Linked DNA regions of Saccharomyces cerevisiae S288C. The protein of the gene in region 1 interacts with the protein of each later gene in a pairwise test. Each region holds a gene or a part of one and is shown on either strand. Other genes may lie near its edges.

Evidence for each region.
Region 2: the proteins of STE12 (region 1) and HMLALPHA1 interact in a two-hybrid assay, tested with the Saccharomyces cerevisiae proteins (one large-scale study listed by BioGRID).

The regions. Positions count from the first base shown.
Region 1 is NC_001140.6:269,448-276,740, reverse strand, and holds STE12 (homeodomain family transcription factor STE12), read right to left. Parts: upstream 2,568-7,293; coding exon 501-2,567; downstream 1-500. Other genes in the region: SAM complex subunit SAM35, read right to left, coding at 3,125-4,114; putative serine/threonine protein kinase KSP1, read left to right, coding at 5,193-7,293. UniProt on the Saccharomyces cerevisiae protein: Binds to the DNA sequence mediating pheromone induction (called the pheromone response element = PRE) which is found in the upstream control region of several a-, alpha- and haploid-specific genes.
Region 2 is NC_001135.5:11,318-14,309, forward strand, and holds HMLALPHA1 (transcriptional co-activator mating type protein alpha), read left to right. Parts: upstream 1-1,964; coding exon 1,965-2,492; downstream 2,493-2,992. Other genes in the region: YCL068C (uncharacterized protein), read right to left, coding at 186-968; HMLALPHA2 (homeodomain mating type protein alpha2), read right to left, coding at 1,069-1,701. UniProt on the Saccharomyces cerevisiae protein: Mating type proteins are sequence specific DNA-binding proteins that act as master switches in yeast differentiation by controlling gene expression in a cell type-specific fashion. Silenced copy of ALPHA1 at HML.

The DNA of each region.
Region 1 (7,293 bases):
ACCTTTTTCTTTTTTGATTACAACTTTTAACTATTATGAACATCGATGCCTTCACCTTATAATTAGGAATCTCGCTTTTTCTGGTGGAAAAATTTTCCGATGGCCTTTGCCATTCTGAAAAATAAAAGGCAATACTACGTTGGTATCAAAATAGTGGATAAACACATATTGTAATACTAAGCGATCATGTAGTTTTGGAGGTCATGTTAAGAAACTCATTGATATTTATATTACATACTGTGACGCTAGATAAATCACATATATAAAGGTATTATATTATATTATCTTTTTCTTTTTTTTTTTTTGTTATTTTCTAACGTTAATAGATTTGTTACATTTATTACCTTTTTTTCTTGCTTTTTGTTTGCTCTAGTCTTGTATAAGATTGTTTTATTTATAAAAACAGATTGTCCTTGTTGTTTTCTTCTGAGTATTGTTTAATATTAAATTCTGGCCCGCATTTTTAATTCTTGTATCATAAATTCAAAAATTATATTATATCAGGTTGCATCTGGAAGGTTTTTATCGGACCTTCGATTGGTATCTACCTCAAGTGAATGAGCTCCACCTTCTTCTGACTGGACCACCAAAGTATTGGAATCCGGAGTAGGCATCGAAATTTCTTTGTTCTTATCAGGATGAGCAGAATCTTCGTCACCAGCACTTGGCCTGGCTTTCGTTTCCAAGTTGATTTTGTATTGCTTCTGATAAGCACTTGTCTTAATATGTAGAGGCTTTGAAATTTTTGCAGACTTGCCCACAGATTGTTTATTACCTGTTGGAACATTTCCTTGTGAAGACTTCATTCCCACAGTTCTTCGCCGTGGGTATTGATTTATATTTTGAGAATAAAATGTGCTAGGAGGATAGTTTTTAGCAGTTGTAGATGGTGCTCTCGAACTATAAGGTGAAACAGCAGTGTTCCACTGCATGGAATTTGAACTTTGCATGTATGGGAACATCGCGGAACCTGGTGTCGATCTATAATTCGGTGTGTATGGTCTCCCAACATAGGTTGGAGCTGGTTGCATAGCTTGAGGGGGCAAAACATTCCATGAAGTTGCAGTTTGTGGATACAGCATATTGTTATCACATCCTTCTGGTGGAAAGAAAAAATCGTCCGCGCCATAAAAGGCTTGATCGAGTAGAGGATCCCCCCCCATGGGATTATACGGCATTTTTGGGTAGTATCCTGGAACCATTCCGTTTGGGTAAGATTGCTGGAAGTTGTTAGAATATAATTGGTGTTGTTTAGTTTGCTGGCCAGAGTTGTGAGATTTTGCATTTGTACAGTTTTCATTTGGCCGAGATTCATCAAAATCCATAACTGGTTCGTCATACTTCATGTAGCTGGTAGGGTCGCTAGGAGATACCAATTTTTCCTTGTTATTGTTAGATGAATAAAAATCCCGATTTGTCATAAAATGTTGCCTCGATGATGATGGTGGCACTGGGAAAGTGGGTGCCACTGATAACTGATAGGGGTATCTATTAAGAAGAGAATTAACGGGCATAGAATCCCTTTCATTCACGTTATCATAGGAAATAGGCATGGAAGGGGCAGCTGGCGTAAAAGCCTGTGGAGGGAACGGATCAAACGCATTTTCCTCCGTAGGGTATTCAACAGATACAGGAAAATAGTCGAGAGGAAAATCTTCTTCGTCTCTGCCCTTAGCGGTATTCTTGGGTAAGTCATGAGGCGTTTCTTCTGTGAGACCATTCAATTCGAGAGTATTGGGTTCTATAATCAATTTCTGAGGAATAAAATCATTAATTTGAGAGGGGGATTCTGGCGCATCGTCATCCATGAGGCCAACGCCTAAAAGCGGCTGATTAGTTACTGTTACCAACTCATTATCCTTAAAATTCTCGCTTTCTAATTTTGGAGGCGAATTATCTGATTTTGTTGTACTAGATGGTCTTCTAGAATCTAAATGTTGAAGTAACTGATCGTAGAGAGGCTTATCAGATGAGGAATCATATGAAAAAGATAAGGCGGGCTCATTAACGGGCTTAGTCGTTGAAGGCTGATTCAAACTTTCTCTTTTTAAATCTCTTTCCAACGCATCCGCAAACAACTTATCATGTGCTACACTGAACCAAAAAAATACTTTCTGCTTTTTTTGGGTTTTCAGACACATATTTCTGAATAGAAACGACAAAAATTCGGACTTTGGTTGTTCTAAAGTTGCATCTATACCACATTTGAGATTTCTTAAATCTGAAAAAATACCCTCTTCAAATTTTTTCTTTTGAACTACTTCTCTCCCAAACTTTTGCATTCTGTAAAGACAACATTTGACAATATCAGTACCTGTAATATAGTATAGATTGTTCCAAAATACACAAGAGACAAAGCCTTGTCCACTATTCAGATAGTATCGCCTTATAATTTGGTTTTCTTGCCAATTTACCGGCGCTGTGGCTAAAAAGAATTTTAGATCGCCGATTAACCTTAGCGATTCTTCAACTTCGCCCGGAGTAGCTTTACTGACTTCATCGTTTTCATTATTAGCTTGAACTTTTAAGATTTCCTCTGTTCTACTATTGGTTATTTGGACTTTCATCCTTGGTGAACAAGACAATTCAAATAAAGAAAGCGGTTCCGCTATAAAAGTGTGTTTTCTTCGACGAGTCTTGTTTGAGAAATATCAATATCCACTCTAGGTCTCGCTTGGGACACTTATAAAACAAGTCTTCAGTGCTTACCTGTTATCTTTTCCTATTTTATGAATGGCACGAACGTCTCAAAAAAGTCAACTAAAAAGAAGTAATCTAATTGTAAAAGGAACGTAGTGGTACTATGTGCGAGAAAACTAGCGTACGAGTACTTCGATTTATGGTGTCGAGACCTGACCGCGAAGAGTTGTTCAATCTTTTTTAGGCTGTTTTGTATTAGTTTTGATATATCTTAAGATGTTGCAAATTCGTTTCTTTTAAAACAATTTTTATCTGTTTCACTTTTTCTATTGAGACGAAAACGGACAACGGCGTTTGTTTCATTTTGAAACGAGCTCTCCGAAAAGAAATGCTGTGTTTCAAATTATGCAACACTCTAGAGTTCATATATTTATACACACGAAAACTTCATCTATATCGTTTACATACTACAGCTTGAAAGTGATTACTGAACGAAGTTCTTCAGGGTGTCTTGTGCAAACTGGACCAATTCTTTACATTCGTTTTCAACAAATGTCTTTAGCTTTATGGGTTCCTTAACGTTCGTTATACAAAGAATGTAACTTGCAATTTTCAGATGTAAGTAAGTGGGTTGCCCGTCGCTTTTCAACATATCTTTTAAACCTAAAAGAACTTGCTTGCTATTCTCGAACAAAACGTTCAAGACCTGCTCTTGATTAACGGAGTTGTGATGGTTGTGATAAACTCCTTGCATACTCTTGACGATTTCTCGATGGCGGAACTGGAACTTGTTCCGCTTTGTTAGGGATATCTTCAAACTCTTTGCGGACAACTTCTGTAATAAAGAGTTTTCTACGTCCAATGGAGTGACTATCGAACCACTTAACTTCTGGCAAGAGTACAATTCCATGAATTGCGCATCTGAGGCACAGAAAATTATTTGCGTGATCCAACAATCGTACAGCACGGTATCCAGCAACGTATAGTACATCAACTGCTCAGCATCATCAAGTATCCGAGACCTCATAATTTCGCTGATTGCCACGGTGGATCTTATAATTCTCTTCTTGTAACCCTCAACTAGAATAGGTAGGGCCTCATCGGGGTTAGAAAGACGGGACAGAACGAGCATTTCATGGTTACAGGTATGCGATGGGGTTTGTTCCTGCGAGTGCGTGGGTAAGACTAGACCATTCTTTTGACACAGCGCAAGCTGAACAAACAGACACCATGGATCTGTGGCCAATGCCGCCCCTGTATTTGCCTCCAAAAAAACGTTGTAAACACCTAGCTTGTACGTCCCCTCCACAGTCAACTCAGAGCTTCCACCACCGCGTTCTGTGAATGTGTAGGACCTCCGCTGTATTTCTAATGCAACGGCCTCGTCCTTGTCAGTCTGCGCAGCATATGTTTGTAACGGAAATGTGTCAAATATCCGTTTTACTGGCATGGGAACACTGAATGAACTTACCATTGTGCACGATGGCTTCGTTTTAGCCCTATATGAGACGACATACAAGAGGCCTTCACACCATTTATTTCAGCATTCACTTCTAAATATCGTCCCGTTACCCTCATCGCTACTGCCGGGCGTTCCCAACCCCTTCCGAGGCAGATTATATTTATTTATCTTTTTAACAATTTGTCCCTATATAGGCGGGCCGAACACAGCACGTGAAAGAACTCTCAGGCTTCCACAACAGGCCATATCAAGTCCACACTTCCCTCATTACTAGCATTTTTACACAAGCAGTCCACGCATTCCGCAACAGTGTTCACCTTTCTTTTCCCTAACTTATCTTATTATTTGTTTGTTGATCGCAAACAGACCCTTTTTTTTGGTGAGCGCATTTTACACAGTCTCAAGTGTCCTCTACTATAAAAATACAACCTCAAACAGTACTTACTGGCGTCCGCAGAATATTACTGCACTCTCAATCTGTAAAGAATATAACAAGTGACCCATTCCCTTGTTTTATTCAACTTCGAAATCTCTCTGGCTATCTTTGCATGCTTATCTAACTTTCACGTGACCCGGATATTGTTCTCTGCTCAAAAAAGAACTGCAAAGAAGGAAATAGAAAAATAGCATACAGGCTCAAAGCTATAGTTTTCTGAAAAGGGACACCACGAATACAGTAGTATCAAAGAGAAAAAAGACTTCTTTATACTTACAGAAGGTTCATTTTCTGATTCTACTCTTCCAATCTAGTGTCGCAAAAAAACAAAACTTACTGGTATTAGCTGGCAAAAAAAAAAAGAATAGGTTATAATTAAAGACATCTTTTCTCTATAAATTTTTTCTTAGAAGAAAAAGCCAAAAAAAAAAAACCTGCTTCATACCCGCCATCAAATCTTATAGGCCTTATAGACTGCATATTACCGGATTCTTTCTCTCCGTTAACCCTACTATTCTTTCACTATACTTTAACCTAAAATAAAAAAGGAAAAAAAAAATTAAAAACTTCCAAAAACTTAGAAATTTCAAATACAAAACAAAAAGACACGTAAAGTTAGTGCAATATTTTTTTCTTACAATTTTTTGAAACTCGATGACTTTAGATTACGAGATTTACAAAGAAGGAGGTATTTTGAATAATCGATATCAAAAAATAGAGGATATCAGTGAAGGTTCATATGGTTATGTATCATTGGCTAAAGATGTTAGAGAGAAAAGATTGGTTGCAGTCAAATACATTTTCAAATTAGAAGATGACGGCCAGTACGATGGGCCTCAGGACGACGAAAATGATTGTGATAGTAGCGATTGTGATGATGATGAAGACACGAAAGTTGATACGGATCGCCATGAAAATGAAAATGGTAATGCCTCCAGTAATAACGGGTCAAGTAGAGAGAAGAAACACAATCTCTACAAACACAAAAAGTCCCTAATTTCTTCGAAAGTTAAATCAAGACTATCTAATAACATTTGTCTCGAAGCCATGTATGAAGTTGATATTCAAACAAAAATTGGTAGACACCAAAATATTGCTGCTCTATTAGATTTCTTCGACTCTTACATCATCATGGAATATTGCTCTGGCGGTGACCTATATGAGGCGATCAAAGCCGATGCTGTGCCTAAGAAAACCAAATCGATCACTCATATTATCACACAAATCATGGATGCAATTGAATATGTTCATAACAAGGGCATTTATCATCGTGATATAAAACCTGAGAACATTTTAATTTCTGGAATTGATTGGACAATTAAGCTTACAGATTGGGGATTGGCTACTACAGATAAGACGTCTATGGATAGAAATGTCGGTAGTGAAAGATATATGTCCCCTGAACTTTTTGATAGTAATTTGGATATCAAGGAAAGAAAGGAACCTTATGACTGTGCCAAAGTGGATTTATGGGCTATGGGAATTGTGTTTCTTAATATTGTTTTCCATAAGAATCCTTTTAGTATTGCCAATCAATCCGACAAGTCATTCTGTTATTTTGCTGCTAATAGAGAAGCGTTGTTTGATGTATTTTCGACAATGGCTTATGATTTCTTTCAAGTATTAAGGTATAGTTTAACCATCGATCCGGCTAATAGAGACTTGAAAATGATGAGAACTGAACTACAGAACTTATCTGAGTATACATTAGACGATGAATACTATAATAACTTGGATGAAGGATATGAAGAAACTATGATTGACGGTTTGCCACCTCAGCCTGTTCCTCCATCTTCAGCACCGGTATCATTACCTACTCCTATTTCATCTAGTAACAAACAACATATGCCTGAATTTAAAAAGGATTTCAATTTCAATAATGTGAATGAAAGGAAACGGTCAGATGTCTCTCAAAATCAAAATGTTGCAAGCGGCTTCTTTAAAAAACCGTCTACACAACAACAGAAATTTTTCAACCAGGGTTATAATACAACACTATCTACTCATGAAAGGGCTAAATCTGCTCCTAAGTTCAAATTTAAGAAGCGCAATAAGTACGGAAGAACTGATAATCAATTTTCCAAACCAGTCAATATCGAAGATAGAAAGAAAAGTAAAATTTTGAAAAAATCAAGGAAGCCTCTTGGCATACCAACGCCTAATACACACATGAATAATTTTTTCCACGATTACAAAGCAAGGGATGAATTCAACACCAGAGATTTTTTCACTCCTCCAAGTGTCCAGCACAGGTATATGGAGGGGTTTTCCAACAACAACAATAAACAGTACAGACAGAATCGTAATTACAACAATAATAACAACAACAGCAATAACAATCATGGAAGTAATTATAATAATTTTAACAATGGTAATAGCTATATAAAGGGTTGGAACAAAAACTTTAACAAATACAGAAGACCAAGTTCCTCCAGTTATACCGGTAAGTCACCACTTTCAAGGTACAACATGAGCTATAATCATAACAACAATAGTTCTATAAATGGTTATGCAAGGCGTGGTTCTACGACTACAGTTCAACATTCACCAGGCGCTTATATTCCACCAAATGCCAGGAACCATCACGTAAGCCCAACGAATCAGTTTTTAAGAGTTCCGCAATCAACTGCTCCTGATATCTCTACCGTTTTAGGTGGGAAGCCTTCATACCAGGAACACTACACTCAGGATAGTATGGATTCTGAGGGCGATCACGATTCAGACGACGTTTTATTCACTCTTGAAGAAGGTGATC
Region 2 (2,992 bases), on another chromosome or scaffold:
AATGAAAGAACAATTAACTAATTAATGTACTTAGTATTTGGCCATTATTATCGATTTCGGGGGCCAAATCTAACCAAATTCAACCTACATTTTTTCAAATTGATTCAAACACCTTTCACAATAAGATTTTTATATCTAGCGCACATAGAATGAAATGTAAACAAAGATTTCAGAAAAATCGTCATTCAAACTTGTATTAGACGAGGGACGGAGTGATTTTTGTGTTTGTTTTTATTAATTGTGGGATAGGATAGTAGCAACTCTTGGAGGAGAGCATTGTCAGTTGTCCAGTCTCTGAAGTTAAGTAGTAAGTTTGCGGAGTCAAAGGGGGATGGCTTTTGCCATTTGTGAGAGTTGTGCGGCAGCATCTTATTCAAATAGAGCTGTATTCTGAAGACCTCTTGTAGAACATCATCCATACTAAAAAGTAAATCGTCCTGTCCCATTACGAGCTGTAGTAGTGCTGTGACCCTCTGTATATTTACGTTGCCATGAAGAAGGTAATGGGCGATATTTTGATACAATTCCTGAGTTGCATGTTGGATTGAGTTTACGAAGGGTCGCCAGACGGCCAGAAACCTCCAGGCGGAGTTAACAACTAGTAATACGGCATCCATGTTTGCATCAGCGCCGAGCCTATACCAGTCACTGAGTAGACGTTTTCTTGCTCTTTTTATGTCCTGACTTCTTTTGACGAGGGGGCATTCTCTAGAGACACAGGCAGTTGCTTCCAGCAACTGCCGTACGGCCGTTCTCATGCTGTCGAGGATTTTTTTTGGGACGATATTGTCATTATAGGGCAGTGTGTGACTTATGAATTGTTGTAGAAGGACGTCTGTGATGTTGGAGATATGTATTTTGTTAACTCTTCTTGAGACAATTTGGCCCTGGATAGCGAAGCGTGCGGTTACAAATAGGTCGTCTTGTTCAAGAAGGTAGGCGAGGACATTATCTATCAGTACAAACATCTTAGTAGTGTCTGAGGAGAGGGTTGATTGTTTATGTATTTTTGCGAAATATATATATATATATATTCTACACAGATATATACATATTTGTTTTTCGGGCTCATTCTTTCTTCTTTGCCAGAGGCTCACCGCTCAAGAGGTCCGCTAATTCTGGAGCGATTGTTATTGTTTTTTCTTTTCTTCTTCTATTCGAAACCCAGTTTTTGATTTGAATGCGAGATAAACTGGTATTCTTCATTAGATTCTCTAGGCCCTTGGTATCTAGATATGGGTTCTCGATGTTCTTTGCAAACCAACTTTCTAGTATTCGGACATTTTCTTTTGTAAACCGGTGTCCTCTGTAAGGTTTAGTACTTTTGTTTATCATATCTTGAGTTACCACATTAAATACCAACCCATCCGCCGATTTATTTTTCTGTGTAAGTTGATAATTACTTCTATCGTTTTCTATGCTGCGCATTTCTTTGAGTAATACAGTAATGGTAGTAGTGAGTTGAGATGTTGTTTGCAACAACTTCTTCTCCTCATCACTAATCTTACGGTTTTTGTTGGCCCTAGATAAGAATCCTAATATATCCCTTAATTCAACTTCTTCTTCTGTTGTTACACTCTCTGGTAACTTAGGTAAATTACAGCAAATAGAAAAGAGCTTTTTATTTATGTCTAGTATGCTGGATTTAAACTCATCTGTGATTTGTGGATTTAAAAGGTCTTTAATGGGTATTTTATTCATTTTTTCTTGCTTATCTTCCTTTTTTTCTTGCCCACTTCTAAGCTGATTTCAATCTCTCCTTTATATATATTTTTAAGTTCCAACATTTTATGTTTCAAAACATTAATGATGTCTGGGTTTTGTTTGGGATGCAATTTATTGCTTCCCAATGTAGAAAAGTACATCATATGAAACAACTTAAACTCTTAACTACTTCTTTTAACCTTCACTTTTTATGAAATGTATCAACCATATATAATAACTTAATAGACGACATTCACAATATGTTTACTTCGAAGCCTGCTTTCAAAATTAAGAACAAAGCATCCAAATCATACAGAAACACAGCGGTTTCAAAAAAGCTGAAAGAAAAACGTCTAGCTGAGCATGTGAGGCCAAGCTGCTTCAATATTATTCGACCACTCAAGAAAGATATCCAGATTCCTGTTCCTTCCTCTCGATTTTTAAATAAAATCCAAATTCACAGGATAGCGTCTGGAAGTCAAAATACTCAGTTTCGACAGTTCAATAAGACATCTATAAAATCTTCAAAGAAATATTTAAACTCATTTATGGCTTTTAGAGCATATTACTCACAGTTTGGCTCCGGTGTAAAACAAAATGTCTTGTCTTCTCTGCTCGCTGAAGAATGGCACGCGGACAAAATGCAGCACGGAATATGGGACTACTTCGCGCAACAGTATAATTTTATAAACCCTGGTTTTGGTTTTGTAGAGTGGTTGACGAATAATTATGCTGAAGTACGTGGTGACGGATATTGGGAAGATGTGTTTGTACATTTGGCCTTATAGAGTGTGGTCGTGGCGGAGGTTGTTTATCTTTCGAGTACTGAATGTTGTCAGTATAGCTATCCTATTTGAAACTCCCCATCGTCTTGCTCTTGTTCCCAATGTTTGTTTATACACTCATATGGCTATACCCTTATCTACTTGCCTCTTTTGTTTATGTCTATGTATTTGTATAAAATATGATATTACTCAGACTCAAGCAAACAATCAAAGAAATCTTTCACTGCTCTTTTCTGTGTTCCATTTAGTTTTTAGTACGATTGCATTGTCTATATACTGTATTTACCAAATCTTAATTTTAGTCAAACATTAATGTTTACTTTCGTATTTAAGGATGTGTATACTAAGCCTTGGGAAAATGCGTGTTCCTTGTGCCATCCGAAAGCTACTTCATAAAAAAGATACTGTTCATTTTCAAGCCCGCATAGTTGGATCAAATATTAACTATATATCAACATGGTCCAAAGATCGTAAGTTTGGTCTAATGTTGTTTTAGCAAAAAA